Drosophila melanogaster: one gene and its partner. The protein of the gene in region 1 purifies or fractionates together with the protein of each later gene. This does not show direct contact. Each region holds a gene or a part of one and is shown on either strand. Other genes may lie near its edges. The genes, in order: Bdbt and Ankrd49.

Region 1 (16,884 bases):
AGCTATTAATTTACTTTGCTTACCAAGCATCTGATTAGTTATTCACCAATTAATTGACTAATTTATCCCTTAGGAGCATAGTTTTAAATATTTACTCAAAAGAAAATCGAATGCTAGCACATACGTTTGTATAACTTCCGCTTAGTTGGCATCACTGAGTGTTCTAGAATGAAAAAGAGTTGCAAGTAGGTAACATTGTCCCCTCCATTTACATTGTAATGCACTTCAAAGGCAGCTAAAAGGTGGTGGGGGGGACAGTCGGGTGGACAGAGCGGACGGACGGACGGACGGACTTGCTCGCAGACGGATAGACACTCTTAAGACCGTTAGTCGCCGGCGACGGCAAACAAGTTGAGCCAAATCGCTGCCGCCCGCCAAACAGCCTGCCATTCCGAGTTATGCACATTTTTAATTGTGTTGGGCAAATGCTGCGAACAGCAAGCAGGGAAGGCACTGAATGCGAGTGTGCTCGCATGCACTCCAGACTCTGACTTCTCTGTTGGCCCATCAGCCGGTTTGTCAATACAAAGATGAAGATGTGGATGTGGTTATGGCCATACCCCCGCCTCATCCTTCGAGTGAAACTCAACCACTCCTAACCGTGACACATGTAAATATGCCAGTCTATAGGTTGCGCCTACTCCACAGCCACTCCCACACACTCCCTTCCACACCCACTCCCGCCTACTGGGCTAAGTGCATTTTAATGCCGTTAGGTGCATCATTTTGCCTCTAGTTTGGCGCTCAATTAAAGCTGGCTGATGTGCTTGCATTGCATTGCATTTGATTGGGTTGAGTGGGTGTCTGCCAAGAGCGGTAGCAGCCACAAAAGCTCCACCTCATATCTGATGGAAAATCGGTTATGTGTAGCTGGGGGCCAAATATAAATAGCTGCCTTAGTCAGAAACTTTGTCCACAGAGATGGGCTTTTCCAAGATAATTAGATTACATGGAATCTGTGCCTTGCTTGATAATTACAATTACTTGTGCATTATTATAACATTTTATGATTAATTATTTGCAGTCAAGGGTCTGGATCACATCGCAGAAAACATTTTGTCGTACTTGGATGCCGAATCGCTCAAATCATCCGAGCTGGTCTGCAAGGAATGGCTGCGCGTCATTTCCGAGGGCATGCTCTGGAAGAAGCTCATCGAACGCAAGGTGCGCACAGATTCCTTGTGGCGCGGACTGGCCGAGCGGCGTAATTGGATGCAGTACCTCTTCAAGCCAAGACCGGGCCAGACTCAACGGCCACACTCATTCCATCGCGAGTTGTTCCCCAAGATAATGAATGTGAGTTGTCCTCGAAGTGTGCCGAATTATGCAATCGGTTTATTAAACCCACATATTCTATGCGTTTTAGGACATTGACAGCATAGAGAACAACTGGCGGACTGGCCGCCACATGCTGCGCCGCATCAACTGCCGGTCCGAGAACTCGAAGGGTGTCTATTGTCTGCAGTACGATGACGGCAAGATTGTCTCCGGACTGAGGGACAACACCATCAAGATCTGGGATCGCACGGATTTGCAGTGCGTTAAGGTAGCATTCGACATAATCAATCCATAAGATTCTGATTACTAACACACTGCCCGCCGAATTGCAGACCCTAATGGGCCACACTGGATCGGTGCTGTGCCTGCAGTATGACGACAAGGTGATCATCAGTGGCTCCAGCGACTCCACCGTCCGCGTGTGGGACGTCAATACCGGCGAGATGGTCAACACCCTTATCCACCACTGCGAGGCGGTGCTGCACTTGCGCTTTAACAATGGCATGATGGTTACCTGCTCCAAGGATCGCTCCATCGCCGTCTGGGACATGACCTCACCCAGCGAGATTACGCTGCGGCGCGTCCTTGTCGGTCACCGTGCCGCCGTCAATGTGGTGGACTTTGATGAGAAGTACATCGTGTCCGCCAGCGGGGATCGCACCATCAAGGTCTGGTCCACATCTAGCTGTGAATTCGTGCGCACCTTGAATGGCCACAAGCGTGGCATCGCCTGCCTACAGTACAGAGATCGCCTGGTGGTCAGCGGCAGCTCAGACAATTCCATAAGGTGAGGCGTGTGAACTTAACCAACCGACTTTCCGGCGCTGATGTGATTAATGATGGGTGTAGATAATTTCTGCGTGAATGTTGCGATTAGTAGTGGGAATTAACTCCGTCTGCCGTATCACAGATAGTAGCTTTAATTAACGCGTATTTCCTTACATTTTGTTAGTATCTGAATATTAATGAACTGTTCGTTTTTGTATATATTTATATATCATAAATATTATATTAAGTTTTCCTATCATTTTAAACTGCATAAAGAGATCATTTTCTTTTCTTTTACTTTGTCTACAACAATCTAATATAACAAATTTGAATTTTATTTTCTTTTTTTCAGACTGTGGGACATTGAGTGCGGTGCCTGTTTACGTGTCCTGGAGGGCCATGAGGAATTGGTTCGCTGCATTCGTTTCGATACGAAACGAATCGTTAGCGGTGCCTACGATGGCAAGATCAAGGTTTGGGATTTGGTCGCCGCCCTGGATCCAAGAGCAGCCTCCAATACTCTCTGTCTGAATACCCTTGTGGTGAGTCATTCGGCCAGTCCGTAGTAGCATTTGTCTAATCTCGATGGTGAACCCTTTTAGGAACATACTGGTCGCGTATTTCGTTTGCAATTCGATGAGTTCCAGATTGTTAGCAGCTCGCATGATGATACAATTTTGATTTGGGACTTTCTAAATTTCACACCCAATGAGAACAAGACCGGACGCACACCGTCACGTAAGAGAAGCCAACTTTCACCCCATTGATCTCTTGAATTATGCATAACGATTTCGTTTTGTTTTCTCAATTTCCATTGTGCTTGTTGCTATAGCGGCCTTGATGGAACATTAACATTTTGTGCAACGGCAGCTGCGCGAGTTACATCTACAATCCTCGAGCGAAGGAGAGGAGGACGACGATGCGGACGAGGACGACGAGGATGATTTTGAGGAGGAGGATTCTAGAAACGATGCTGGCGCGTTTATGGGGGGATATGTTAGGCACCGGGATGCTGGTGGTTCGGGATCCGTCACCGGTTCCGGTTCGGATCCCGAATCGGATGACCTGGATTTCGATATAGATGTTGAGAATATTAATGATTATGATGAATAATGAGTGAATGGTCGTTAACCAGCAGCATATACATACACACAGCAGACTTGTTTAAACAAAAAACGATGTTGAACCCAAGATACAGCGATCTCTAAGCGTCTATTTTACACACTACATCCACACACACACACACACACGAAACACAACCACATAATATGAATTAAATGAAGTTATAAAAGCAAACAAACAATAAATGCAGGAGTATACCATTTATGCAGATATTTCGCAAAACTGGCTGTTAGGTTTGTCGTGTACGAATGAAACAAAAATGAAAGATGCAAAAACGGAAGGACAGAAAAAGTAAAATTATATATAAGTTTATGTAGGCGCTGTAATACTAATCGAGGGTCAGTCTTTGAATCGCCCTTCGGATCAGTGGATCGATCGATTGGGCGTTATTTTAAGTGTTTCTTTAGCTCAAATACACAAGTATCGCGTTTAGGCAGCTGCCGCCTCAAGAATCGCAGCAGGAATCTTCAGCGCGGCCAGAAGAATCAGTCTTTAGCATAAATGTTAGTTAGAGTTGCATCATTGAAATTGGCAGAGCGCGTTGCCGTTTTGCACATTTGTAACCTATTTTACACGCCTTTTGCCTAATGTTTGTGTTAATTGTAAAGTAAATCTAAGCCTAGTATCTTATTGGCAATTGTAATCTAAGTTAACCGAAATACAAATATTTTAATTGAAAAGTTAATTGTGTAAAGAAGGACACGCAGCAGTGTCTGCAACTGGAAGTTGCACATCTTTCGAGCGAAGATGAATTGAAAATGGATCCATTGTACTGCAATATATAACCGATTCTTTGATTGATTGATCTATGCTAACTATAGGTTTTAGATATACCGATGTATGTAGAAAATAGCAAATTCCCAGGCAATTTCAACAATATAATTATATGTATGTATGCCGTTCGTTGATTGTGATCAATGGATATTTTACTATGTGTATTGCTATTTGTAAGTTAAGTTCCAATGCTATACTTGATCTGGATCACGATCACGCCGCTTCCGCGTTAACTAATGTATGTACATAACGTTTTACTTTAACAAAAGTGTTAACAAAAATATGAACACATACTCCGGATTATGTAAAACTGTTAGTGGAAAGAGGGCAGCATGTTAAACGATGGCCGAGCAACTGCTAGTGCGCGAATGGGCTTAGTATATGTAACATAACTAGAAATAATAATAAATTGTGTATAAATGCTAGAAAATTGTTTATCTTAAATGGACTCACCCAATTGATTAAATTTAGTGAAGCGGAAATGGGTAATAAAAAGTTTTACTAAAGAGCCATGAGTTACAATAAATGCATGCTAACATTTTTGTTTTGGAATAGAAAGATTAAAACCACTAGAATTGAATTGGGCGGTTTTATAATATTATATAACCGCATATTATTGTATTTCCTAAGCTCTGAAAATTTTCATATTGTTGCCCAATTTCTCCTTCGCACTCCCACCAGCTGCGTACAAGGTATCTGATAGTCGACTAACTCACTTGTTTTGCAAATAGATGCGTAGTCCATGCATTACATTTATGAACTAGTGAGAACAAAGTATTTTTTGTGAAATTCGCGATAGGTACATTTTTGACGGTTTTCTGGTCACATCGCCAAATCGCAAACTTTGCTTACTGCTAAATTTCGAAGCTCCCAATTTGCAAATATTCCAAAATGGACTGGTACGTGGGCACAGAGTGGGAGGACAAGAACCGTGGTCTGGCCAAGAAGGTAATTGGCCTCCAATTCACCGAAATGGACAAGCCCACGATAATCAGTACGGTGGAATTCAGTGTCAACAAGAAAGCCACCAACTTGGGAGGACGACCTAGCAAATATTTGGTCAGCGATGAGTCCGCTACGTATCCTCAAAAGCACAGCCTGGAAATGGGCACCAGCCTGACCGCAGTGGACTGCTACTTGGAGCTGCTGCTGCAGCAATTTGTGCCGGGTGAAACGGCAGCCTGTAGCATCACGACCAAAACCGGCGAACGAATAGAATTTGAACTGAAGCTGGAGAAAATTGTGAAGAACACTCAGGTGGAGAAGCTAAGCGCTGCAGAGATCTATGAGGTGGCACTACGTCTCAAGGAAAGCGGCGTGGCCACCTTTAAGACGTTCCCGAAATTCGCCTTTGATTACTTTGTGCGTGCCGCAAAGTTGCTGATCACCTACAAACCCTTCGATAAACTGACCAAAAAGACCAATGGCATCAACGGCCAGGCGGTGGAGGAGCTCTTTATTCAGATACAGACCAACCTGGCCGCCTGTTTGCTGCAGGAGAAACGCTATGAGCATGTAATCTACCACACGCAGTTTGTGGAGACGGAGGAGAGTCCCAGCGAGAAGAGCATCTACCGGCGTGCACTCGCCTACTATCACCTGAAGGAGTTCGCCAAGGCGCAAGCCACCATCGAGCGAATGCCCAACTACGAGGAGAAGCGAGAGTTCAGCAAGCTGCGCGACAACATCGCTGTTAGCTGGAAGGATAGCAAGGCCCATTACAAGGAGGTGGTGCAACGTATGTTTAGTTAGTTCCCATTGATAACATTGCGATGTCGTGTTAACCAATGGTCTTTATAAAATAGCTTATGTTAAATGTACTACTTTGATTTTCTACTCTTTCTGTGGTCAAACTTGGCGCGCTTGTTTTTGGGATCGAACTTGGCTCTCCTGTTCTTGGGGTCGAATTTGTCCTTCTTGTCCTTGCGATCGAACTTGTCCTTACGATCGTACTTGTCCGTGCGCTCAGATTTGTCATTCTTGTCCTTGGTATCCAGTTTAGCGCGCTTGTTCTTGTATTTCATTCCGCCGCCCAAACTAGGCCGCTTTCGGGAGGACTTCGCTTCCATTTTGAACAGTTCTGCAAAGGAAACATTAGTTTATATTCTACGCAGCATGTAGCACAACTCACCTTCGTCTGGTTCCTCGCCGACTTCCTCCTTGTAGTACTCTGCATCATCCTCGGGATCGCTGTCAGTCCGTCCCTCTGCCGCCCTCTTGGCAGCCCATTTTTCATCCTTCTTAAGCTTCAAGTTGCGGGCACGGTTCTCTGCCTGCTCCTTCTTGCGCTGCTCCTTCTGCTTTCGCTTCTTTTCGACCAGCTTGCGCAGGGTTTCCTTTTCGTCCTCTGTCTTGACCACATGGTCGTGATACAGTACTTCGCCCGTCAGAAGGCCCTCTTCTATTTTGATGAGCTGCATGGTTAGTCGAGGTCCGATCTCGTGTAGCTTTATGGAGCTCTTTTTGTCCTCCAAGTTGCCCTTGCTTTTAAGAGTCTGTGCCAGCACCACATGTGATTGCTCATCATCTTCGGCCTCTGATTCGGAGGCATAGCCGTCCCTGAAAATCAATATTATGATTATTTGATGGAATGAGAACAAACGGTCATTTCCTACTTGGTCACAAAGTCCACGACTTCGTTGCACTTGCCCAGATTGGGTACCGTTCCTTTGACGATTTTCTGGACCGCCCGCTTTAAGCCAACCGGCACCACCTGCACGGAGTAGTGCCGCATCTCGACCAGCTTCGTGTCCGGATTGTAGGAGAACAGGACGCAGCGACGAATGGTGCCGATATTAACCGTGGCCAAGTTAATTGAGGGGAACATGTTTTGGAACGTGGTGGCCATCAGCTTAAGGTGCTTGCCATCGCCACTGAAGTTGTTCATGATGACGAGCGGAGCGTGCTTGAAGTGATCGTTGTCAATCATCTGCTTTTTGCTTAGCGAGATCACATCTCTGGCCAGGGTGAACTGGTGAACCTGACAGAGAATAACTTCGCGGTAAAATATCCAGTATAAACTAAGCGATGAAACAAACAAACCTTGAAAGTCAGGGAAGGACCGCGCGGCAAGCGGACCACTTTGAAGGACAGCTGCGTGGAGGCCTTGTTGAAGATGCCCATGTGCGAGACGTGGAAGAAGCTGCTCAGGCTGACAAAGTCCTTGATGCGGTTCATCCGCTTCTCGCGCAGATTGCTGGCCGTAAAGGGCTCCATAATGCGGCGGAAGTCCAGGGTGAGGTCCGTGATGTACGGACAGGCGAGGCCGCGATGGATGACGAAGGAGTGCGGCGCCTCCACGATCTCGCTCGGCTCGCTGGCCTTGAAGGCCGCCGTGCGCGTCTTCGGATGCACTTTCTTCTTACCGCCCATGTTTCAATGTTTTTGTTCACTTTTCTCCCGCACGTGTATGGATCAGTGTGGCTGCTCGCGCGGAAAATACCAAACACCCACTCCGACGTCTGCCTTTGGTCACTCTAATCCCATTTTAAATTTCGATTTTCCGCCCAATTGAAAGCACTTCTGTTTTATTTAAATTATATTTATTTAATCACACTTAACATAGCAAACACAAATGATGTTATTTCGTTTCATTTATGCATTTAAAGTTTTACAACTGTTTTTGTTTGATTTCTCTTTATCAGCTAGTTTTACCAAGTGGCCAATCGTTTAAAATGTTGCGAGAAACCGAAGAAGAAAATCCGAGCTGCAGTGCTGTGGTAATGAATTTGCGTTTAAGTCGAAGAATTTCCGGTTGTTTGTTGTTGTTCTGCTCGCGAAATTACAACTATATATTTATGTTGCGAAAAATTAATAATATTAATATTTTAATATTAGCATATATGTATATTTATATAAATTATAGTTCTACAGCTTAAACTGAATTTGGAGTGTTTAGTTTTGCTTGCTTTCTTTCCGCGGCGGTCGATTTATGCGATACTCATGGATCTGTATATATATAAAACTTCAGTTTAAACCGCAGTTAACTACAGCCGGATGTTGTTGCTTTCGATTCTTTTGCTGCTGCTGCTGCTTCTGATGATGGTGGTGGTGTTGGTGGTGGAGAGTGGCGGCTCAGATTTGAATTATCAATTTATGCGCACATGACAAACTGTGGCTGACAAACGCATAGACATCTTGTGCGGTCCATCGGGTGTACGCTGCTCCTGATCTTGGTGTTGCAGTTCTGGCCGCTGCTGCTCCTCTTGTAGTCGTAGTTGTAATTGCTGTTGCTTCTGTTTATGTTGCTGTTCTGGCGGTTGCGGGGAATAGCGAAAATTGCTTGGGGCGGTCACTGACAGCACTGTTTGCGCACATCGGCGGTGACAGTCGGCTTTACGTCGATGGGCTCCACGTTCGACGGGCGGATGACGTCGCCTTCCGGCGGATCTCTGATCTGTTTCTGCGACACAATGCGATAGATCTCTGAAACGGGATTACGAGACATCATTAGTCGTGCTTCGTTATCATTAATCTATTGACTTTCAATGAAGCGTTTAATCTACAGTATTTAAATATTCTTAAACGATCGATAATTTGAAAGCAGACTAGCTAAAATATCCTGAACGACCCACCTGTGAGTATGTTCTGGAATGCCGTTTCAACGTTCGTTGAGTCGAGGGCCGAGGTTTCTATGAAACTCAAGCCGTTGCGCTCGGCAAACAGCTTCGCCTCGTCCGTGGGCACGGAGCGCAAGTGCCGCAAGTCGGACTTGTTGCCCACCAGCATGATGACGATGTTCTGGTCGGCATGGTCGCGCAATTCCCGCAGCCACCGCTCCACGTTCTCGTAGGTCAGATGCTTGGCAATGTCATAGACGAGCAGGGCCCCCACGGCACCGCGGTAGTAGGCAGAGGTGATGGCGCGATAACGCTCCTGGCCGGCCGTATCCCAGATTTGCGCTTTAATTGTTTTGCCATCGACCTGCGTTGGATGCACAAGAAGGATGAAACAAAGGACAGCATTAGAATGGTGCCAGTAATTGGCAATTTCGCCACGAAATGCCTGCGGCGCATTCGCTTTGAAAATTAATATACAAGCACTGGCATTCAGTATTCACACATAACCAACATAAATTAGAGCTTATGGATAAGCTTTTAACTCTAGTAAGAGAACCCAATTTTTGAAATTTCTTACACTAGTTAGAAAAAACGCAAGTAGCGTAAGTTATATTCATTGAACCCATTTGATATACTAAATATTAAGATGACCTACTAAGCTACTTCGAAAAGATGGCACAAAGTATTGTTTAACACAAATCCTTATACATACGTAATATATAATTGTTATTGACCACATAAATTTATTATTTCAGCACAAGTGACAACTATGATGTCAACATTTTGGCTAATCCCGTAGGATGGCTTTTGAAATTATGCAAGAAAGCCAATTGGCAATCCATTATTTAGTGAAATTCTCGACACTTACTCAAATTGAACAAACTTTTCCCCCCAATTTTCCGATAGACGCCTCAACTACGTGTCCTCCCACCGAAACGCACACGCAAGTTCACCCGTGACTTCCCCCACTGTGGGTGCGGTGCGGTAGATGTGTGGGGGTGGAGCTCCATGGGCCACTCCACCCTCGAATTCTTGGCCAGCGTACTCACCTCTATGCTGCGCGTTGCAAACTCAACGCCAATCGTCGACTTGGACTCCAAGTTGAATTCATTGCGCGTGAAACGTGAGAGCAAATTACTTTTGCCAACACCGGAGTCACCGATAAGGACAACTGCAAAGGATTAGAGGGAATTAGTGACATCGACATTGGCATTGGATAATCGAAGACCCCCAGTTGCATAATTTATGTGGGTGTGTGGTGTGGCGTGGCGTGGCATGGCCCCTGTCTTGTGTTTTACGGCCGGACAGAATGGTCGCTGGTGGCCCGGCTAGGTCATGTCCTCCTTTCGCCGCTGGCACGGCGCACCAAGGTCAGCGAGTACATAAAACCGCCATGCTCGGGGGATTTCAGGCCATGGAAAGAAATGTTTTATGATTGGGCCAGTCGACGTTAGGGAGTTCGTGTTATTGTGCTTCATTGCCGATAGCAAACATTTCTTGGATAATTGAGTGGCGGATATTTGAGGGAGCAAACAAGCATCCCAAGTTGATATGCTACCCGATAAAAACTATCCACTGACCTTTTTACGACTCCATTTCTTTTTGATAAACTTTCTTATGTGCGGCCAGAGTTGTTGGCTATAATATATATTAACTGATATCTAGACACTGTGTTTACTGACTGTCTGTCTATTAGTTTCCATTTTTGACACCCTTTTCGGACATTGTTGATTCAGCATGTTTGCTAATCCATTCAGAAAACAACAACTATAACTCATCAAACACCTTTTCGCTCTATCGCTATGGTCATCGCTGCACGGAGAAAATTCAAATAGTAAAATGGTATCATATGAACACTGATTCTTGAGTTCGAAGTTTCGATTGCAATGCCATTAAGATAGGAACTAAATATTTGAAACGACTTTTGAGCTAAGTCCAAGTTTTTGACTTAATTTAGATAGCTAAATTAGAGGGTATAGGGTTTTCTTTCAGTGTGGACAGCTGGGAGCAGCGTGGTTACAGTTATCAGCGAGAGAGCTGAGTCACTTTGTTTTCTACTCTCTTTCTCAGCGCTAATAACGATCTTTAAAGAGAAATTGCACTTAGTTAAGCGGATGCGATGAGAAATTAAAAGGGGAGGAGTGGTAATCGACGGTCATTACTTAGTAGTGGGATTGGCTCGAATAACCCGAAACGGCCCATTTTCAGTTATGTGATTATGCGCTTATCGGTGAGTGGAATTCTTCAGCAGTTATTGGCTGTGAGTCATGTCCGTTTAATATTGTTTCATGTGTGAAATTTGAGGCCTCATCATGCATACCGCACACTGACGCATTATTATGATGACTTTTTTTTTAACTTTTTGTATACTTGACCCAAAAAATACGGCAGATTAAGTTTTAAATATTTTTTTAATGACATTCAACAGTTGCTCAGCTGTGATAGCTAGCAGAGATTTCCAAGCGCAATTGGAATTTATGGCGTAGTAGCAAACGAAGGGAACAAAGAAGAGCTGAGAATTTGTGACCTCTGTTCATACATATCTACACATAAACGGGGGAAGATGCGGGATAAAAGTCTTGTTTTCTACCTGCAAATACATCATTTTGCTCTACTGTGCTTCAAACTTTCAATCGAGAGCGGGTGAAAAAGAGAGCGCGCGTGAGAGAGAGCTACTAAACGAAGTTACAAGAAACCATTGCAAAAGCCAGCTGTACAGAAATCATAATACCCACACTCTCGCTCTATTTACTGGATATCTAATCACTTTAGCATTTCGAGTGGGTGGGCAAGCCTTAAACCTACTTTACAGAGCGAGCGATTATAAATACGATCTGCTTGGCTTTTGTATGCAACGTGGCGAGACCAACGGCACTGTAATGACAAAACAAGCAGTTAACGGCAAAGTACGCGTACTCCAGTCCGAAAGAGTACCCCAAAGAGATGGAGATAGGCAGAGTGAGAGCGGGAGAGCCACCAAAGGGCATCCAACTGCAGCAGTAGCAACAACAACAAACTCGGGGGGCGTACTTCTTATTTTGGGAATTAATGACACTCACGCAAACAAACACACCACATACCATCACATGAACTTTGGGCTCTTCGAGTGCACTTTTTGTTATTCTCCAATTAGTTTCAATTAGTGCTATTGAACCACTGTCTCTCACGGCAGGGAGAGGAGAGCCTGGAAGTGCGGCTCCTCCCCTCCTGATCAACCTTCCGCGATCTTCGACCAGCGGCTAGTATCATGTTTATAATTACCTTTGAACAGATAATCGTACTCGTCTTCTCTTGCACCCATTTTGCTCAATTTGTTTTGCTATCGCTCGCTCGGTTCGATATCCTTTGGAAATCCAGTTCCGTCCTTTTTGTTTTGTGTGTGCGGGTGCTAAACGAAATCCAATAATCCCTGCGCGCCGCCGATTTCTTTAATGCGTTTGTCGTCGGCTCACACACTTTACACTTTTATTTGCAGTTGTAGTTGTAAAGAAAGAGAAAAGTGTATATATCAGTATTTAAGTGGCGAAATCGGTTGCTCTTCCAGCTCGGATGCGTTCGAAAATGCTGGCAGGACTTTTCCGGCAATTGGAGCAGTATTAATTGGAGATTTGCAGCTGCTTGCAGCGCATTTATTTGCAATTTTCTCTTACACGAAAACTTAGTCACTCCCAATAACGTCACGTTATATTTCCAACGAGACTAGAGATGTTGAAAAATATCGGTACATCGACATTATTTCGGCGATACTTATCGATTTTCTTAATGGCGATGTAAGGCGATAGTACAATGTCACTTCTATTTTTGTTTATATGAACATTGTTTTATACTCAAAAGCTTTAGAATTAGAATTAAATTTTTTCATAATTAAAACACATTAGGTCTAGAAAATAAATCTAATGTTTGTTTCCTATTTAAAAAACTTATTTGTTTTATTTTAAAACACCAACATACTTATATCATTATCGATGTTTTCACATCGACTTGCATCACTAAATTAACGAGATGGATGTTTTAGAGTTACCAGACGGTACGACGAATTATCATGAACTGCTCTCGTTTCATCCCGACAAGCCTATCGTATTTTAAAAAAGCTGAACACATTTTCTAGGGATTATCCCTAGCCCATTTAACTTATTTCCAACTCAAAATGTCTTGAATACTTAAAACGTTCCAACCTAAACAGAATCGTTCTCCCAGTAGCAGTAACTGTTTCTAATATTATCTTATTAAAAAAATTAATTAAATAGAAAACATTTCGATCCCAAGTAAAAACCCCCTGCTTACAAATCAGAGTAAAAATGTGTTTATTTTAATATAAAATACTTGTAAAAAACGATAAATTAAGTATAATGTGCAGCTAATACTTCCGTTGATCTCTAGTGAGTTTAAAAACTCTATTCCTATTGCACTTAAATGCGAGCGCGTTGCAAGGCCATGGCTGGATAAATGAGCAGAAGTCCGCCGGCTATATAGGTGATCCTGGAGCCAACGCACCAGAAGGCTATTAAGGATTAAAGAGTTTAGAAAAGGTATAATCCTAAGACAGCTGAGGAGCTCACCAATGCATCCCACCACGGGGCCCAGAGCTCGAGCCAAAGCTCCCAGTGAGCGGAATATGCCCAGTACTGAACCCTTCTGGTCATCGTTTCCGTATTTGGATACGAGGGTGGTCAGACAGGTGACAGCGAAGGCTGTGGAGATTGCGAACAGGGTCATGCCGGCGTACAGCATCCGACTGCCCTCGGCTAGGCCGACTACTACGAAGGCGGGTACAATCAGGTACAAACTGAAGATGGCATAGCCTTTGATCTTCGCCTCGGGCAGCCGTCGGACCACCGATCCCTGCAGCAAAGTCATGATTACACCTAGAAAAAGACACAAATTTGATAGGGAATATTGTAGATTATCAACTTGCTCCATACCCGTTGTCAAAAACATCTTCGCCTGATCCATCGAAGTGTAACCGAATTTGTGGTACATCAGAAATGTGACGGTGAACTCCAAGCCGGAATACAGAAAGAGATACAAGAAGTATACCAGGCCAATGGATCGCAGTGCCGCAATGTCTTTCTTAGGCACATTTTTGATGGCAGCAAATCTGTCAGTGGGAGAATTCTTTTGAAATATGATTGTAAAATCCAGACATAATCATTGGTAATAATCTTCTAGCTAACTGGACTCAATTCCCTGTAACTACAATTAATCAAAAGCAATCTAGAATTTACTAACTGATAAGGCAATCAAACAAACGTGTCCGAGAACCCGGCATGATAATAGTGTCTATCAAACCAGTCAGGCAAGTCCGGGTGGCTTGCAGTTCTCACCGTATGACGATTTCGATTTGATCACACGACAGGTTTTCGAGACATGCTAATTAAAACATTGAATTACCTAAATATGGCCGAAAAATTGAGCAACTGCAGGCCATAAGACAGTGCAGATGATATCTCCTTAACACGTTTCTCCTGCGAAAAGGTCAAACAATTAATGGTGTTGGGAATATATTTAATTTAGCCAACCGTACGCACCTTGGGCAACGTTTCCCGCAGACAGCAGGCCAGGACCACAAGATCTCCAACTGCCAGGCCAAACGCCAGCAGAGAGGGCAACACAAACCAAGTACTTCCACTTTTATCGGAGAATATGGCGAACAGGGCTCCAATCATGGGCCCCACAATAAAGCCCAGCGAGAAGGCCACACCCACAAGGGCCATACCGCGTCCACGGGTCTTAACGCTGGACACATCCGTAATGACGGACATGCACAGGGATATGTTGCCCTTGCTAATTCCGCCCACGAAGCGGGCCAAAACGAACAGGGCAAAGTTGCTGGAGCAGGCCCAGATCAGATAGGATAACGCAATACCACTCTATAGATGAAAGAAGACGTAGCTTAAGGAAGGTTTACTTATTTGTGGCTTAGCTAAGGAGTTTGAATTTGACGAATTCCACGCTTTTGGATTGAACTCGTAATAGCATGAAATGTTGACCAAGCCAAAAAGAAAACTAACAAGACTAGTTTAGTGTTTAGTGCACATTAAAGCATTGAGCACTGGGATTACCTACCGCACAAGCCAGCAGGACTGGTTTCCGTCCGTAGTAGTCCGAGAGTCCTCCGACAATCGGACTGGCCACGAACTGCAGGAAGCTGAACATGGAGCCGAGAAAGCCTCCGAATAGCACCGATATGTAGCGATCCGGGGCGCCCAGGAGCTGCTGGAACCAGCGCACCCGATCCGTGAGCACGGCATACAAGCCGGAGCTGTCGTTCTGGCGATAGTGCTCCAACAGCGAGGGCAGCAGCGGCAGAATGATGGTGAAGGCCAGTAAGTCGAAGAGCAGCGATACGAAGATTATGTATATCATGGGATCACTCTTCTCCGGCTTTCCATTCTCCGATGCTTCCTTATCCAGCGCTTTATTGTTGTTGTGATGGTGGCTTCCGGTTTGGCTGTGGCTTTGCTTCTCCATGGCAGCGGTTCCATTGTGGCGACTCCGTAGGTCGGCCATCTTTGCTGATTTCGGGTGTTTAGCTTGTGCCGTGATTGCGTGCGTGTACGGGTGTTACTGCAACATAACTGTATCAACGGAACCACAACTCCACCGACAACTCTTGGCCCTCTCGAGAAGCGGCCAGCCAAAGCGAAGCCAAAGTGAAAGCTGAACAGCAACAGCTGTTCCAAGGCGGCCTATAACGAGCAGACGGCATTCCAACCTGTTGCTTGCTGCGGATATTTGAAATAAGGGCGCCAAAATGAGTTATTCAAACATCTGTAATTAATTACTTTTCTTATCAAAATTACCAACGAATATTATGTTGGTGAACATTACTAATAGCATAGGTTTAAGTTGTAAATATTTAATTAATTTATAAATATTTTACAAATCATTGTTTCCTGCTTAAATAGTTAAGAACCGGATTTTGATATACATATATAAATTAAGTTTATGATTCGGTAGTTTTCGCCTATTTGATTTATTTATTTTATTACAATCCTAGTGATAATATCTTTTTAAAAGATAATGCAGTCAGATATTCTCTGACACAACTTTGTATTATAATTTAAAACATACCGCTTAAAATTGTTATCGCCTAGTATCGAAAGTCAAACCTCGATAACACTTAGTAAATATTCGATATACCATACCGATAAGTCGGCGAAATAATTGCTCATTAAAGTTTGGTAAAAAGTTGTTTAGAAGAGAAAAAAGAGCGTTATAAGATGTCCAAAGTGACCGTGCAAGACATTGAGGCGGTGGACGACTACTGGGGACCAACATTCCGTTCGATCCTTGAAGGTGACTGCGAATAGAAGCAATTGGCACACTTTGTTTACGCCCATTTTCCTTTTTTCCCGGACAGGCAACAACACTAAGCAGATTGGCGACCAACTGGAGCAGCGGATACGGAGCCATGACAAAGAGATCGAGCGGATCTGCAATCTGTACTACCAGGGCTTCATCGATTCAATTCAGGAGCTGCTCCAGGTGCGCACGCAGGCCCAACAGCTGCACAACGAAGTGCATTCCTTGGACACGTCCCTTCGCCAGATCAGCGCCTCGCTGATTCAGCAGGGCAATGATCTAGTGCGGGCCCGTCAGATCGAATCCAATCTGGCCAGCGCCATCGAGGCACTCAAATCCTGTCTGCCCGCATTGGAGTGCTACATGAAGTTCACACAGCAGGCAAAGAACAAGCAGTACTACCAGGCGCTGAGAACTCTGGAGACTCTGGAGACGGAGCACCTAACGCGCTTGAAGACACACAACTACCGATTCGCCACCCAGATGCAGATACAGATTCCCATAATCAAGGAAAACATCCGTCGCTCTTCCGCCTCGGACTTTCGAGAGTTCCTCGAGAACATCCGGAAGTTTTCACCCCGCATCGGCGAGCTGGCCATCACACACACAAAACAGCTCCAAAAGCGTGATATCAACGCCATCATTGCCGAGCACATGCAGCAGATGAATGGCGGCGAAGCCGGCGGAGCAGGTGCTGGCGGGGATGATGATGGTGCCAACGTTAGTGCCCAGGATCTCATTGACTTCTCCCCCATCTACCGCTGCCTACACATCTACATGGTGCTGGGTCAGCGGGAGTACTTCGAGAAGGACTATCGTCAGCAGCGCAGGGATCAGGCCAAACTGGTGCTTCAACCGCCGCCCAACATGCACGACAATTTGGAGGCCTACAAAACGTACATCTGTGCCATCGTTGGCTTCTTCGTGGTTGAGGATCACGTTAAAAACACGGCGGGCGATGTCGTGACCAGCAGTTATTTGGAGGATCTGTGGTCCAGCTCGTTAACCAAGTTTGTCAACGAAATCAGCATGAGTTCTTCGTCCTGCACCGATCCTAATATCCTTCTGCGCATTAAGA
Region 2 (16,751 bases), on another chromosome or scaffold:
TTCTAGCGTCATTTATATGCAAACCTATCACCTTGATGGGCGATAAAAACCAGAAAAGTCTGAAAAACATAAACAACAGCATCCCGGACCAGTGCAGCAAAGCGGTGACCACAAAGTTGAAATTAACGAAAATTCGCGCGGCAAGGTCAGTTCAAAGCGGTCAACGACTGCAGGCCGCACGGGAATGGCCAACATGAAATGCCCTTTTTCGAACAACAAAAATTTATCGATTGCAAGCAGTAAATAAAAATTATTCAGCAATAAAAGCGAAAAAAAAAAATTAAAATTAATCACTCGACAAGAGGAGATAACTTCTGAGCTACGCATAATGCGGCTACCGTTTAAGACTTAAATGAAAATATAAAAAACAGACACAAAATCCGGATGTGTCGCGATGCCTACGGATTTGGCGCGCCCAGACCGAGGACGGTCGTTGGTCCCTGGGGCCACAGAATCGCCGACGAAGTAGACCACAAAAAAAAACGACGGACACCGTACGTGTCCCATATCAGGAATGCAAACCACGCGGCGGTCACTTTCGGTTGGACATTGTTTCTGTTATTGCCGATTTTGGAACTGCTCGACTGACTCAGTTTCGGCGAACCTCCACTAAAAGCATTCATAACTCAACTGCCAGCTGTCAGCGGCAAAAAGAAGAAAAAAAAAAGCAGATACAAAATATCCCCAGGTTTATACCACGAAAAAAAAAGGGAAAGGGCAGTGTAATGGAAAATTATAATGGAAATAAAGCGAGTGCTGATGCTCTCGGAGTTACTTTGCAATCGTCTCAAGTTCAAGGTCTTCTCGATTTTGCCGTTCAGTGCGATGATAGTGCATTAAATGTGCTGCGATGGGAGATTGTTGTCTGTCGATGGAATGGTAATTGTAGTATAATTATAATGGGCTTAATGGAAGCCGCAGTGCTTGCGATGGCAAATAAGCAGATTGCTTTTAAAAATTATAATAACTTACTGGATTTGCAGGGCTTATGAATAAGCTATGATTAGTAAAATGTTGCAAACGGCTTAAGATTTTCTGTATTTTGTATTATTATTAATTGAGTGATAAAATAATATGTTTATTTCACGCTCCAAAAGGTTTACCCGAGTGAAGCGAACTATGCGTCACTAAAATTGACTTAAAACCAAATAAGGAAGTAATCGACTTGAATGTCAATTACAATTACATACGCACTCAGAGACATGCGCCGAGTAATAAATTAATCAAGTTGCGCATACGCCATGTAAGCCGGCCGACAGTCGCCGAAATTGAATTCAGTCGATTCAGTTGCCTTGATTTCAGCCCGACAAACTATAAACAAGCGAAATATACGTTACGCACAAATTAAATTCATGAAGTTCAAACTCAGAAATTCCAGCAAAAACAGTGGCTACCGACGAATTACGTGGCATGCGGCATGCCTGCCGCCTTTTCAGCCCCCGAATTCCCACATTTAATACATTTCGTTTTTTTTTTTTCTTTGGTCCGAGTGCTCGCAATGAGGAAGGTCAAGTGCAAGCGCCAAATGTGTTTTATATTGTTTTTCACATTAGTCTCAGCTTTTTGTTTAATTAATTTTTAATACAATTTTGGCCGGTGGCTTGTTTTGTTGACGAGCGCGTTGATGATGTGACAGGCGGCGGCACACACACACGACTTGGGTGGTTCTGGAGGCTAATTGTGGCAGTTGATGGAAGGGGGGCACTTAAAAGGTGCTCGGGCGCCACAGGTGCGACCTTGACGAGGTGGCAATGAGAAGAATTGGTAATTTTGAATTAAATAAAATCACTGTTTAGAACTACAATCCATCAAAAGTTATCTTCATTGATTGTATTTATTGGTAATCAAAAATGGTTTACTCTAAAACTTATATATACAAATGAGGAGTATTTAAATATAAATCAGTATATTTGAAATATGCTTACTTATATAAATTCTTAAAATAGCTCAAAAGTATTTAGTTGTAAGAAGTATGGCCAGGTTTTCCCTTGCTGATTGACCTCGGATGCGATACCCTTGCCACTAGTTCACAGAACCCTCACAAAAAAATTACATAGCCACCATTGACCGCCACTCTCGTTGTTATCGAATGTTTAAAATCGAATTTAATTACTTCCACCCACTAACAACTTCCGAGGCACACTTCGCACGGAAGCCTTGGATACAATAATAAGCCCAGCCATTGAGCACGCTACCTATATGGAAATATATGCTCATACAAACTGGAGTTTGATTGTCAATCATTGTCAATCAATTACCAAATAGTGGGCCACCCAGCGAGAAACCAAACGAATGTGACACTGAGTCGCTGGAAAACCTTTAAAGTTCAATCAACTGACAGACACAAGAGACTTAATCACCTGTTTATCAGCTAAGTGGGTTGGAGGGCTTATAAACCGATACCGATATCATATCATTTTATATTATATCATATTTTACCGAGCGCGCTGAAAGGCGAAAAGGAAGTGGAAACAAGCCGAGTCACAACAAGAAACCAAATTGAATCAAATTATATATGTTTAATACCCGAAATCCAGACCGATCCAAATACTGAGACTGAATCTAAATCGCTGCTCGTGGCTCGAGGTTAGCCTTGCCCATGGCATACAAAGCTGAAAATTGAATTTGGCTTATTTTTTAGGTCTCTCGTCAGGTTCAAAACTATTAGCGCCCGCATGCAAAAAGAAAAAAATAAAAAGAGTAAGCGAAGTCCAATAGAGCAATCAAAATTGGAACAATGCATTAACGTAAGGCAAATAAGCTACGAGAAATGCATCATGACATATATATATTTAAAGTATAGTTTTTAAAAAAAGGATATGACCTAATTAAAAGAACTCCTTGTCAAAATTCTGTTCATTCAAGCCTCTTGAAATGGCACTTAATTGGTCAGCACAGCAAAGATCAGCTGTCCTGAACTCAACAATGTGATTTACAACTATGTTCCACACTGTAGCTGCTGTTGTCAGCAATGTTGTTTCTGGCGTTGTCGTGCGTTGGTTTTTTGACAGTTAACTCTCTACTGGTTTTGATTTTTTCGTGTACCGAACGGGGGCCACTTGAAATTTGATTATAATCGATTTTGGCAAATAAGAAGTAAAAAAAAAAACGGCAAAAAGCAAAAAAAAAAATCACGGGCAATCGTTATTTAATGCGAATTCAGCCTCGGGGCAGAGTTAATGTTTTAATTAGCACAACTTGGGCAATCTGAGGTCGCTTTTTGGGGGCAAAAAGCAACAAATTGCAGCATGCCACGCCCATTCAAGCGTATCCCAGAGGGGGCTGTGGGTGGGAAATTCGTTATATACGTACCCATAATTTGTATTATAAATATACGCCACATCAAAAGCGCATTCATTTGTTGCTCGATTCACACAATTTCTCATTGCTATTTGTTTGGTCGCGCTGAGCTCAAGCATTGGCAACTCCAACTCCAAATCCAACAGAGTTATGGATACCCCCTCCCTCGCAAACCGTTGAGCTACTGTCATTGTCAGACAATCGTTAGTTAGTTCTTGAACTCGGCTTTTGAACTGAGCTCTCAAAACTTCGTTGCTAATCGCGAGCTACTCGTTTCGCGTTGGGATCTTGACATGAGGAAGCCATTTGGTCACCACATGGAATTGTAATGACTGTAATTAATAGAAACCAAAAAGTGCTTGGTCGCTGGAGAGCTGGAGGCGGCACTCCAATGCATATGGTTAATGGGGTTCTAAGGTAGAACCATAATATATCACGCAACACATTTTCTAAAAATTTAACTTTACACTTAAGGAGTCGTTCTGAGAAATGAAACTTACTTAATAGCTATGTTATTATAATTTCAATAAAATATCTATATGAGTCTCTAAAGAAGGAAACTTTAAAACAACTTTAGCGTGAAATGGGACAGTATGGAAATTCGTTGTGCTTAGTTATTATGTTAGTCACATCAATTATTAAGAGAATTTTCGGTGGAGTCTCAAAATTGGGTAGCCATTTATGGACAGAAAAGTGCATACTCAAAAGATCCTTGAATTACTCACATTCCGAGAATCTGATAGTCACCTTTGTTCTGTCAATCTGAAACTTAGTGAATATATGCAACTACACATGTGCAGCATACACACCAACATAGGAAATTATCTGCGAGTTGTCAATAGATGCATGTTATCGATCGAAACAAAAGACTTGAACAAAAAACTCGTTTCACTTGCGGGATTTAATTTTTTTTCTTTTTGTTTTTGTCGGTCAGCTGGGGGAAAAAAGTGAAAATATTATGCAACATTCTCAGACTGACTCTTTCACTCCAACTTACCTTGCGCGCATTGAATGCAACAAGTATTTTCACAATTTTGCTAATTCCAATTAATTTCATTTGTCGTTTCACCTTCATTATTGCATTATTACAACTCGCCTGTTCTTGGCCAAATCACATATATATATACACATATGTATATATGTAAGCCATTTGCAATTATTCAATTAAACATGACATGACTATCTAACTGGATAGCACTGGCATTGTTTTAGTTTCAGTGTAATTTCCATTCAATAATTATGCGATCTAGTGCCGCCGGTTTTGTCTCGGAGAAAACAATTCAAAAATTTTATAGCCATAAAGCCATCAAGATCAATGCGATCGTGAGCGATTGTCTTTTTTTGGTGGCGATGGGAAGGGCAGAGTGCGTGTTTCTTGATCTTGATTAGCTGGCCATTTAATAATGAGTTTTCCCAACAACAGCCACTTGATACAACAGAAACCAATTATCAAGGTCGCGGATGAGTTGGCTATTGTAAATATTTACATACACACACATAGCTCGCGGCCCTCCTTCGTGGGCTGCCCAAGGTCGAAATGTGGCAGAAGAGTTTATTCGATCGCTGTTGGACTAGTGTAAGGCAAACACTTGACTACACGTTCTACGACGAAGTCAAGACCTTCGCGGCCATGGACTTCTAATTGCTGGCAGGGAAAGTTACAAATATTACAGAAAATTACCTTGAGGTTACAAAAGTATGTACCTAGGTTGATTTCGGATTTCATATCTCCCTATATCTTAAATCACTTTATCGTTTAGATTTGCTTTAATCACCAGCATCGAGAAATGATTGAAGCTGCTTCGTATATTTAATCAAACACTTAATTAATAACCGATTCATCTCAGTTTCGCCTTGCTGAAAATCACACTTAACAATAGGCACCATTTTTAAATCCGAAATGAAACAAATTGGAATAATTTGTTTGATCAACCGATTGAAGAGTTGTTTGTGTGCACAACTCAATTAATTTCCAAACATTATTCAAGTTCAAGTTTATTAACCTTAAGTTCAAAAGTGCAAACACCAAACAGATTAATAGATTCCGATGCGGTTTTTCTCGCCGAAGGTTAAACGATTTGTGTTCTTTGCTTTTGGCGGATTCTTCAAAGCTTCAATAGACTGGCACAATTGTTTGCAGTAATTGGCATAGAAAAGCAATAATGGCAAAGTTCAGATAGTTCAAACCAAGAAGGTCAAGTGGGGTGGGGAAATTCATTGTAGCTAAGAAAGGCAGTTGTTCTTAAAAGTCTGAATATAACAAAAGATTTCTGCGCTAACAAATTTCGTTACTATTTCTCCATGTTTAGTTAATATTTTCGTAAAATCTGTTAAAGAATGTATGGAAAATGATTAAAAAAAAACAAGAGAGTCGAGTTCTCTGACTATTAGATACCCTTTACTCAGCCTTCTAGCTTTTATCTCAAATAGCTTTTATAGTTCCTGCGATCTCTACGTTCAAACGGACAGATCCTGATCAAGAATATATATACTTTATTTAGTCGGAAACCCTTGCTTCTACCTGTTACATATTATTTAACGAATCTAGTATACCCTTTCAACTTTACATAGTCTTCTTTATTGTTTAATTGACATTCTTTAAGCGTAGTTAAATCATATATGGAAAAGCCCGCAAATCCATAGCTTTGCTTACTTCTGCAAAATGTGGAGAGCCAAACGAAGAAAATAGTAATGAAAACATAAACAAATTAAAATGCTGCCAGAGCTGCCGCCGCTTGAGGCATTCGAGCGTGCCCCGCGAAGGTTAAGCCAATGGGCTGGGTCTCGCGATTATTAAGGAGCGCATTAATTGGAACTTCGTTGGAGCGTCGGACAGCGGGAAGTTAAAAGTTTTGGAAGGTCGGTGCGTCAATGGGAGGCGGCGGAGCTTACTGCGCTTTCAGCCAACAGCTGTGTGAGTTCAATTATGCACATTCTTTTCGTTCTGCCAGCAGATTTGCGCCTGAAGAGCAGCTGTCTAGATGTGCATCGTGATTTGAGAATTATGGCTAAAAGTTCAGGGTCAAAGTGGGTTAAACACCTGGGTTTTCTATGCACCCGCCAAGGCAGCTTGTAATTTGTAAAACTTCGCGTGTGTCTAATTAATAATTAGATGTAATGCCAAGCTCTTCAATGGAAAATCAATGGAATGCAACGAATTTGAATTCAAATTTGGCGCCAAGCTAATGTGGTTTAGGTCTTGACTTAACGCGTTACATTTGGTATTTTACCAACTATACACTGCGACCACACACATCAGCTGGTCGAAATATTTTCGCAAGTGCAGTTTCACTATTTTATTTACTTTACTTAAAAATAGTTTTTAAAACTGCTGATTAATCATGGAAATTCCGGATACCTACTACAGCAAAGATGAATACGTAGAGACGGCAAGTATTCGCACTGACTTCCGCTTTGGGATTCCATTTAAGCACTAAGAGATGACCTCATCATGACCAAAAAACTGATTGTTTACAGGCTTCGGGTAACAAAGTTAGTCGCCACACGGTGCTCTGTGGTTCCCAAAACATTATTTTGAACGGCAAGGTGATCGTACAGAGCGGCGCCATCATTCGCGGCGATCTGGCCAATGTCCGGACGGGAAGATATTGTGTGATTGGCAAGAACTCCGTCATCCGACCGCCGTACAAACAATTCAGCAAGGGAATCGCCTTCTTTCCCATGCACGTCGGTGAGCATGTTTTCGTTGGCGAAGGAGCAGTCGTCTCGGCGGCCACCATTGGATCCTATGTGTACATCGGCAAGAATGCCATCATAGTAAGCTATTACTTATTGTTATACCCTTGTAATCCATTTACTTTTACCATCTTTCAGGGCCGTCGCTGTGTTTTGAAAGACTGCTGTGTAATTGAGGATGGGGCTGTCCTGCCGCCAGAAACTACCGTGTCCAGCTACATGCGTTACACGGCGAGGGGAACCATCGAGGGTGGCCAGGGCAATCCGTATTTTGTGCCCGCCGCCATGCAGGACGAGATGATCAACTACACTAAGTCATTCTACGAGCATTTCGTGAGGGCTCCAGCGCCAGCCAGCTGAAAATCGTGGTGTCTACCAATTCCATCGACAGAAAACATTATTTATGAAATAAACATATTATATTAGTTATTCTATAAGTATGCGCATAGTTTGACTATTAAGTGATTAATCTATCAGTCCCGTTTCGCAGTCGTAGGCTTCCTCGCCGGACTCGAAAATGGGAAAACTCATGCCAGTACGACGGGCAATCACCGAGGCCAGTTCCTCGGAGTTGTTCTCCTTGCGCGGCTGGATGTATCGGTCCAGCAGAAGGACCGTGGCCGTATTCCGACAATTGGACACAGTGGCGGTTATGTGAAGCGGCGTCTGCTTGCCGTCCGATTCCGCATTTACATCGGCGCCAAACTGCAGCAGCAAATGGGCGCAATCCGCATTGTTCCACTTGCAGGCGGAGTGCAATGGCGTCCATCCCAGCTCCGTGCGGGCGTTGGGATTGGCATGGTACTGCAGCAGCAACTTGGCCATATCCACAAAGTTATTATAGGCAGCTCGGTGCAGCGGCGTGTATCCGTCGTTATCCTTGGCGTTCACGGTGTCTGCGTCCAGTTTTAGGATTTCCCGCACCTCGCTGATGCGGTTCTCGTTCACCGCCCACAGAATCATGCGTTCAATGCTGCCTATGATGATGTTTAATTAAACTATTTCTCTAAAATGTATTCTACTTACTTTGTGGGTTCTTGTCCTCTTCGATCAGTTCGTCGGCATCGTCGTCCCAGCCGCTCACGAACATTCCGCGCGGCACTTTGGCGTGGCGCAGCTTCTCCACCTGTGATTTTTCATCATCGGAATCGTAGTCCCCCATTTTGTGGTAATATATTAATAATAAGCCGGAATTTAAACAGCTCAACTTTTTGTTTTCTATTTCTCAAAGTGACCGTTGCTTAGCCGCTTAAGTACACTTAAAAAAATACTAAACACTTAAAAATATACTAAACGAAGAGTGGAGTTTTAAAAAGAACAGTACATTTGGTTTTTCAAATAAAAAAAAAAAAACTATTTATATAAATAATGGTAGGAATTATAAAAAAATTATTCTTTTATTTGAAAAGTCTGCCATTTAAAAAAAGGCTGTATTATTTATAATATTCATCAAAATCAAATTAATCAAAGATTATTAAGCCATTAAATTTGTGTTGAATACATAAATGATATACATCATTTTATATCATCATTTATATATTTTATTTTTAGCTATATATGCTTTATATAGTTCATTTCAATCAATTAATGATTTCATTTATTTACAAAAACAATAATTTTTCGATTACATTTTTCTGTTAGCAGTAAACGGCCACTCTAGCACACTATACTAGTAAATCCGAGAAAAACATCTGCTTCCAAGTTTGTTTGTTTGTTTGTTCCTTGAAACCAGGACGCCATGTCGAATCCGCAGGAAGAACTACTGCCGCCCAGCGCCGAGGACGACGAGCTGACCCTGCCACGGGCCAGCATCAACAAGATCATCAAGGAGCTGGTGCCCACGGTGCGGGTGGCCAACGAGAGTCGCGAGCTGATACTCAACTGCTGCTCAGAGTTCATTCATCTGATCAGTTCGGAGGCCAACGAGGTGTGCAACATGCGCAACAAGAAGACGATAAACGCAGAGCACGTCCTGGAGGCGTTGGAACGCTTGGGTTTTCACGACTACAAACAAGAGGCGGAGGCCGTTCTGCACGACTGCAAGGAGGTGGCAGCCAAGCGAAGGCGCCAGAGCACGCGCCTAGAGAACCTGGGCATTCCGGAGGAGGAGCTGCTGCGCCAGCAGCAGGAGCTGTTCGCCAAGGCACGCGAGGAGCAGGCGCGCGAGGAGCAGCAGCAGTGGATGAGCATGCAAGCGGCAGCAATGGTGCAGCGACCACCGCTGGCAGACGGCTCCGTTGCCAGCAAGCCAAGTGAGGATGACGATGACGATGACGACGACGACTACTAGTAGGAAATAGTCTTTCTATGAGCTTAGTGTAGATTTAATCTTAAAATATATGCCATAAGTTGAACTTTCAACTATTAGCTACTCTTCATTACGGATCATCCGTTTGTCCTTCACTCCAGCAGCCTGGGCACCGCATCCTCAATCTCCGAAACGACTTCCTTAGATGTATCGTAACTTTAATCTTTAAAAATGCAAGACTATTCGTTATTATATCAGCTGGTACCAGCCAGATTTTGTGGCTCCTCCGCCTCATTGTCATCCTTGCCATTTATTTGCATCTCCACCAATCGGGGAAAAGTTTGTGGTGCGTCGTATGTGCCTGGCACATATTTTCCCAATATTTCGGTGTGTTCCTTCCAGAACTGCGAAGATATCAGATCCTCGTGCAGCGGCACCACGGCCTGCCTGCTCTTCTCACCCAATATCACGCGTTTTCTCAGCAGAATCGTTCCCTTTCTGTACATTGCCGGCAGATTGTTGTAATTTATCCCGAATTCCTGGAAGAGCAGCTCATTTTTGTCCGCCGAAAAGGTGCCACGGAGTTTCGCCTCGGCTTGCTGGTTCGTCAGGCCTTTTTCCAAAACGAGTTTCCAAAAGGCGGTATTGTACAGGTTGTTCACATGCACATCGGCCTGTCGCCAGCTGAGATAGTCCTTTAGATTCTGCTCCGAAGGATACAGAACAACGCGACCATCGAAACACGGAGCATAGGCCAATGGCAGATTCATCCACTTGGACCATTGCATTACATAGCTCGAGGAGAACAAGCTGGTGACGTAGGTGAGCAGTTTGGCGGATCGTCGCTTGAACGCTGCCGTCTCTTTGCGAAAAACAAAGGAGTACTCATCACTTTGACCGTAGGCGAGGACAATATCCCGAAACTCCTGCATCACCGCCGTGGCAGCAGCATTCATCACATTGAGAGCTAAAGCGAATATTTAATGGGATTATTAAGAACTATAATGAGTGTTTTTTCTTACCATTTTCATCGTTGGGCTTTTCAAAATCGTGCGTCTTGGAGAACTTGTGGAACTTTTTGCCGTCTATTCGTATGACTATCCACACATTAGGCAGTATGCTGTCGTCCTGCTCAAAGGATTTAACGTACTCGAATCTGCTGCAGGCCATGCTGCGTTTTGGAAAATTCCGGGCAAGGGAATAATTCAATAATTTAACAAATTTATTCAAAGTTCCAAGCAACCGCATTTAAAAAGTTAAGAAATGCATGAGTTACCAACAGCTGATTGATGTTTTCCATTAACAGCACTGTTAACTAGTGCTTGACTAGTGATGGAACTTTTAAAATCTGTTTAGCTTTAATCTTAAAAGTAGCTAATGAGGATGGTTTAGAGAATATTGGTTTATAAAAAATTAATTAGGAAGAAAAATAAATTTAAATCTAAAATGTATATTTCTTATTCTGAATACTTTCCGCGCGAAATAACATCGAGTGCCGATAGCACTCGTGCACTCATTCCTAACTGACCCGATAACTTCGATAGGCAACGACTGTTGGTCATCCGGCAAAACAGAAAATTAATAGAGACTATGAGTCTTAATTACGAACAAAACGCGGCAGACGAGCAGTTCGCCCGCGCACACAAAGCAGTCAGCCTGTCGGACGACGAGGAGAGCGAGGGCCAAGCGGAGACCACGTCTGCACCAAATCAGGAGCCGCATGTTAGTAAATCACCGAGGGAGTACTACGATGAGCCTGGCGGGAAGGGCAATGGAAGTGGAGCAGATGATCAGGATGAGCCGGAAACGGAGGCTGCCAGCGGAGCGGCCAACACACATGTGGTGGCACACCACTACAACGAGCTGAAGGAGGCGGGCCGCAAGGATCGTCAGAAGTCAAAGATATTCTTCATGAGGAACTTTAACAACTGGATCAAGAGCCAGCTGATCAACGAGTATATGTCGCAGATTAAGCAGAACAAACGCATGGGTGATGCTCTCAGAGTTCTGGACATGTGCTGCGGCAAGGGCGGTGACCTTCTCAAATGGGAGAAGGCTGCCATCTCCCACCTCATCTGCACCGACATCGCTGAGGTGTCGGTGGAGCAGTGCCAGCGGCGATATCAGGACATCCTGCAGCGATCGGAGAAGTCGAAATTTGCGAATAAGTTTACCGCGGAGTTTTTTGCCTGCGACTCCACATTAGTGCGCCTGCGGGAACGGTATAAGGATCCTTCGCTTCAGCTGAATCTCGTGTCCTGTCAGTTTGCCTTTCACTATTGCTTCGAGTCAATGGCGCAGGCAGATTGCATGATGCGGAATGCAGCCGAGTGTCTGAAACCCGGTGGCTTCTTCATAGCCACAATGCCGGATGCCTACGAGATCATCCGCAGGCTAAGGGCAGCCGGTCCAGATGCCCGGCGTTTCGGTAACGATGTGTACAGCATTGAATTTGACTGCGAAACGGATCCTTTGCCGCTTTTCGGAGCCAAGTATCAGTTTCACTTGGAGGGCGTTGTCGATTGCCCCGAGTTCCTAGTGCATTTTCCCACGCTGGTCAAGCTGGGCAGAAAATACGGTCTGCAGCTATTGAAGCGCTCCACATTTGCGGATTACTACAAGGAAAATCTGCACCACGGGCGGCATCTTCTGCAGCGAATGTCCGGCTTGGAGTCGGTGCAGCCACAGCGCTGCGAGAATGATGAAGAGTTCGCCCATGTGAGTAACTTTCAGGGAGCACAGCGAAGCAGGTCGGTGGGAACCCTCTCGAAATCCGAATGGGAAGCAGCAAGTGAGTTTACTCAGCATCGACTTCTGAATTCCATTACTAAATAGCTTCTTATTTCAGCTCTTTATTTGGTTTGTGCCTTTAAGAAATGCAAAAACACCTGGGACACCAATGGCAAACCATTGTTCGAATTTGACGACTGATTATTGCCAAAAACATTCACGTTATAGACTATTATTCTGTACCCGTGGCTTAGCACTTTTAAAGTTTATACTCGAAAGCATGAACAGATTATTAATTTCAGAAAAGATTAGCTCCGTAGGTTACAATTCGTAAAACTAAGGGTATGTTTGTTTGTGTTCATAGGTTTCAATTCAAATTTTATTGTCCAGTCTAGGAGATATTTAACAAATTTACGAGAAAGCCACCAACCATCAAGCTACGAAATTTCAATGTAAATCGAGAATGTCATTTTGCTAATAAAAATTTTTAATTTAGAAAATTTTATTTACTATTGAGTCCGTACTATAGTTAGAAGAGACGTATTTATAAATATTACAGAATATTTCGTAAGCTAAATAATGAAAACTAATAAAATGACTTCAATGGAAAAATCAGTATTATTTACAATTAAATTCCAAACTACTAAATAACTGGTTAACTTTTGAATGGCCCTCGCTTGAGCCGCCTTTCAATCCGCCTATTTCGAAAGCTTTGATAAGAGGGCTTTGGCCAAGTTCGAAACTGGAAGTGAGATGTCGAAGAAAGCTTCGCAGGACGAAGCTCGCTGGCCGAGAGAGAGCGCACAGCTGTTGCTTTCACAGCGACGGCGCCTTTGAAGGACATCGGGCAAAGGTTAGTCCTGACGTTTACGTTGCCGGGTCGTGCCCGCCAGCGACCCAACCTGTTCAGCTCAGCTCTGGAGCGACCCCAACCAGTCGGTGGCGAAAAGAGAAAGCGTGTCGTGCCAGGCGCTCGATGCATCAATGAATTATTGTAGCTGAAGTGTAAATAAATATTTAATAACGGGCCGAAAGTGGGGTTGGTGTTGGAGATGGTGGTGCTGCCCTGGTTCGCTTTTTGATATGCTGATGTGCGATGGTGCTGGTTGGGGTGCCATGGGGGGGCATGGAGAAAATAGCGGCATAAATTACACCATTGATTGGTTTCGAAGCGACTGCAAACTTTATATTGGCCCAATCAGTTAGCTCTTTCTTTCATTATCGCTTAGGGCTGAGCACTTTGGCCGTCTTCCGGCGCTTTTCCTTGGCCTCGTCCTCTGGCCAACTTCTTGTCAGATAATTCCATTATTTAAAGTTTCGCTCATAAAAAACAACTTTGGGTGTAAAGTTTAAATTTGTTTTGCACATACTGACGCACAACACTGAGGACGACAGGACAGGCACGTGTTCGTGAGTGGGTGGATGGGTGTTGGGATAGGGATACGGAATGGTATAGGGCGACTACGCTTTTGTTTAAAGTAGAGCGTGCGTATTTATAAGGCAAACAACGGAGCCTGGCCGAGCTGTTTACGTTTACACACACACACACACGGCTTGGCCAGAACCACCTCAGCCCAACTCAGGCCACCATTAAACGTACTGAAACTACCTGAACCACCCAGACCAGCCGTCAAGCCGCCGCTTTTGGCCAGGTACTCTCCGCATGTCCTTCGCCACGACTCGCTTTGCACTGATTGGCCCTAATGAATCTTTTTGTTACCTTCTCCATGCGGCCGCCTGCGCATTGTACCATGCGGTCTATGTAAATTAGTTCACTTTTAACCCAAACATTGGGGATTGGCAGACATCCCACCCCAGTGCATCAAATTAACATTTTAAACTTTCAGGCGACTCGAATTACAAGTTTTTGTAGCCCTAAAGAATATGTTGTAATTGGGCGTCTGAAATTAGATCAAGCAAATCAGTTTGCTTAGTTTGTGATTTTTCATTTCTGAAAGTATTTATTTAAATTTAAACTTGTTTAAGATGCAGTTTCAACATGGAGTGAGCACTCACTACGATCGAGATATGTTTTCAGAGCGCGATGAGTTCTGCCCTAAAAGGACTCTCCTGAAAAGTATGCTACATAATCATATTTCAAGAAAAAGTTACAATCGATTGTAAAATACTTTAGACACCTTTGGGGTTGTTTTGTTTGCTTAATATTAATAAATATTATTTATATCAATACAATGACATAATACCAACAACATATATTTTTACCATCCGACGATGAAAACTAAAATCTACCAGCTGATCAAGGGTTAAGGACTGTGCCACAACTGCTGTCCAGGCCGAACTGAGTAATGTGCATATGTACGTGACTGCAATTTGTTTGTGTGGAAGGTAGTGTGTCGGTGTGTTGGTGCTGCTGGGCACTGACAAAGCGCAGGTAGGAAATGTAAGGACCATGGTACGTATACGCAGTGTGTGCAAACAGAAAACATGCCGCAATGTTTGTTTTGTAAGCCTGTCGAGGCAAGCGAGCGAATAAGTGTCTTTGCGTCTCTCTCTCTCTCTCTCTCTCTCTCTCTGTGTGTCTTTCCCCCTCGCGCTCTTACTCTCTTGGTCCTATTTGTGCAGATCATAAAATGCATGAGTGTGTGTGTGTGTGTGCGTGCCTTTTGACGGTATGTGCGTGTGTGTGTGCGCCTGTGTTTATTCAACCGCATGAAACAATGTGAAAAACGCATGCCAGGCGTGCGACTGTGTTGGTGGCTCTGTGTGAATGGCTGCGAGCATGTCTGTGTGCGCCTTCTGCTATGCTAAACTTTTTACAAGGATTGCCCCCGAAGCTGGTTGGCTTGGTTAACGCAACAATTTAACACAAAACCAAAAAGAAGGTAGAGCGAAACAAGAGAAGAAAAGTTGAGCGCACCGTGGGGAGAGGGGGGTGCGGTGGAAATAATAATAAGGGATGTATAAAAAATGAAACGTTCCACACATATTTGTGCATACCACACATACATACATATACATATGTGCCCAAGGACTTAGCGGCGCCCATTGAAAGGATGTGAAGATGATGAGCTGCAGCTCATCGCTCGGTAATCTTTTGTGGTTCTTTCCTGGCCAAAGAGAAACTTGAACCCTGCTCCTGCTCAATGCCTGAGTGTTGCCACATTCGTTGTGGTAGTTACTCTTGGCTCGGTCGGATGCATTTGTGCAACCACGACAGTGGGGCATCTACATTGCCAACTTGGGGCCGAATGTTGGCTCAGTAATTACATTTAATTCTATGGCTTGGCAAGGGTTTTGCTTGCGAATTCTATGCAGACTCATTGAATTCAAATGTCATGCCAATATGAAAGGGTTGTCAAGCAGTTACTTCCGTAATCTTATGCTTATTTAAATATACTATTCTTTAAAAAACTTATAATTTCATTTTAACAGAATATATTTATATATTTACAATAAAACATTATGCATTTTTTCTCTTTTCATGGAAATCCATAACAAGCCACAATCTTTTCAATTAACATTATCACACTATTTCATGTTGATTGCTGATTGCAGCTGTGCCTGCAAATGTTTTAAATCGCCCATTCAATAATAACTTTCATTTTATTGAATAGTTTTAGGAGATTACCATAACATAAAATAAACGTTCTATTCAAAGCAAATTCGCTAAATATTTCACTGAAAACATTTATAATTTTATGTAATTAAAACGTGAATTTAGAGTGAACTAGAAATCAAAATCAGAGTTCAAAATAATAGCTGGCCTATGCCAAAATAACATTGGAATACAGAAAATTCATAAATAAATCATCAATTTATCAATGCATAACAATTGCGCAATGTTAATTTTCAAACTGCTGTTTACCAATTTGCTCTTGAGTGGATTTGGTTTAATTAGTGCCGTTTCTGCTCTAACTGTCTATGAAATCAATTCAAATATCTAAACAATAAGTGCGTTCTGTAACCTATACGGCAGTGCAAATATAGGCCATAACCCATGCCCTCGTATTCACACATCTGAAAGTTATTTAATCCGCTCAGCAATTTCGATTGCCATTTATTCACTGGCAGAGTTCAAGACAAGTGCATTTCAGCATACCCGAATTCCACATGCGGACATAAATATTTGAGTAATTGATTTCCCAAGTCGACGATGGGAAAACTTCCAATTTCTTGGCTTGACTACTTTTGGGCCAATGCAAATGGTTTATTTTTGACCGCAGAATCCTTCGACTTGAGCGGACAGTTGAGGTTCTCGAACTAATTGCAAAATTGTCAATGATTTATTCAGTTGGCAATTAAGGTGCCAACTAACGGTGTGGCTGGCACGGCTATATCGATTTGAAAATATTCAATAATCCCGGAGCCTTGATAAGCTCATCAAACATGCACATGGCCATCAGCAGGGGGGGGCAAGTTTGTATTTAGAGCCAAGTGTGTTTGGTGAAGGGGGGTTAGCTGTATATTTCAGGGTTTCCCCTTTTTTTGTCGAGCGGTTTGGGGGGGGGTTTTGCGAGGGGACACAAAAGTACAAGTTGCTATGGATCAAGCTCAAGGCGTGGCAGTTGGGCATTAGCTCTATGGTGGAGCACGGCAACCAAGCGAACAAAGGTCAACTCGACAAGTGAGTTAAATGACAAGGACCTCACCTTGCCTTCCTTGGGCTTCGGCTTTGGCTTTGGCCCGTGCGTGTTTGCATGTTTGGCTCGATGAGGCGACGCGACCCCAAAAATGAAACTCAACTTTGGCTTTGACTGCGGCTCGGGATTGTGGCGTGCAAGCATTATGGCCTTTCGCTTTCAAAACAATGCCCCCA

The links.
Region 2: the proteins of Bdbt (region 1) and Ankrd49 purify together in Drosophila melanogaster (affinity purification with western blotting, with the first as the bait; one study listed by BioGRID). This does not show direct contact.

What each region holds. Positions count from the first base shown.
Region 1 is NT_033777.3:21,106,734-21,123,617, reverse strand, and holds Bdbt (bride of doubletime), read left to right. Parts: upstream 1-4,761; 5' UTR 4,762-4,833; coding exon 4,834-5,694; 3' UTR 5,695-5,761; downstream 5,762-16,884. Other genes in the region: slmb (supernumerary limbs), read left to right, coding at 1,025-1,296, 1,367-1,546, 1,611-2,065, 2,399-2,588, 2,649-2,784, 2,879-2,898; ppan (peter pan), read right to left, coding at 5,763-6,022, 6,074-6,501, 6,558-6,922, 6,985-7,314; Rab11, read right to left, coding at 8,234-8,367, 8,517-8,865, 9,551-9,672, 11,763-11,802; rtet (tetracycline resistance), read right to left, coding at 12,911-13,002, 13,061-13,366, 13,424-13,599, 13,893-13,966, 14,030-14,371, 14,568-15,011; Sec15 (secretory 15), read left to right, coding at 15,725-15,800, 15,865-16,884. UniProt on the Drosophila melanogaster protein: Functions in planar polarity establishment and circadian rhythms by promoting the activity and localization of dco/dbt.
Region 2 is NT_033779.5:14,999,184-15,015,934, forward strand, and holds Ankrd49 (Ankrd49), read right to left. Parts: upstream 8,249-16,751; 5' UTR 8,159-8,248; coding exon 8,023-8,158; intron 7,974-8,022; coding exon 7,462-7,973; 3' UTR 7,400-7,461; downstream 1-7,399. Other genes in the region: DCTN5-p25 (dynactin 5, p25 subunit), read left to right, coding at 6,642-6,689, 6,778-7,077, 7,135-7,356; NC2beta (negative cofactor 2beta), read left to right, coding at 8,735-9,286; THG (tRNA-histidine guanylyltransferase), read right to left, coding at 9,499-10,211, 10,267-10,414; Rnmt (RNA guanine-7 methyltransferase), read left to right, coding at 10,835-12,035, 12,093-12,175. UniProt on the Drosophila melanogaster protein: Required for regulating the establishment of planar cell polarity in the wing. Forms a complex with Bdbt which likely functions in the regulation of planar polarity by promoting the activity of Dco during planar polarity establishment.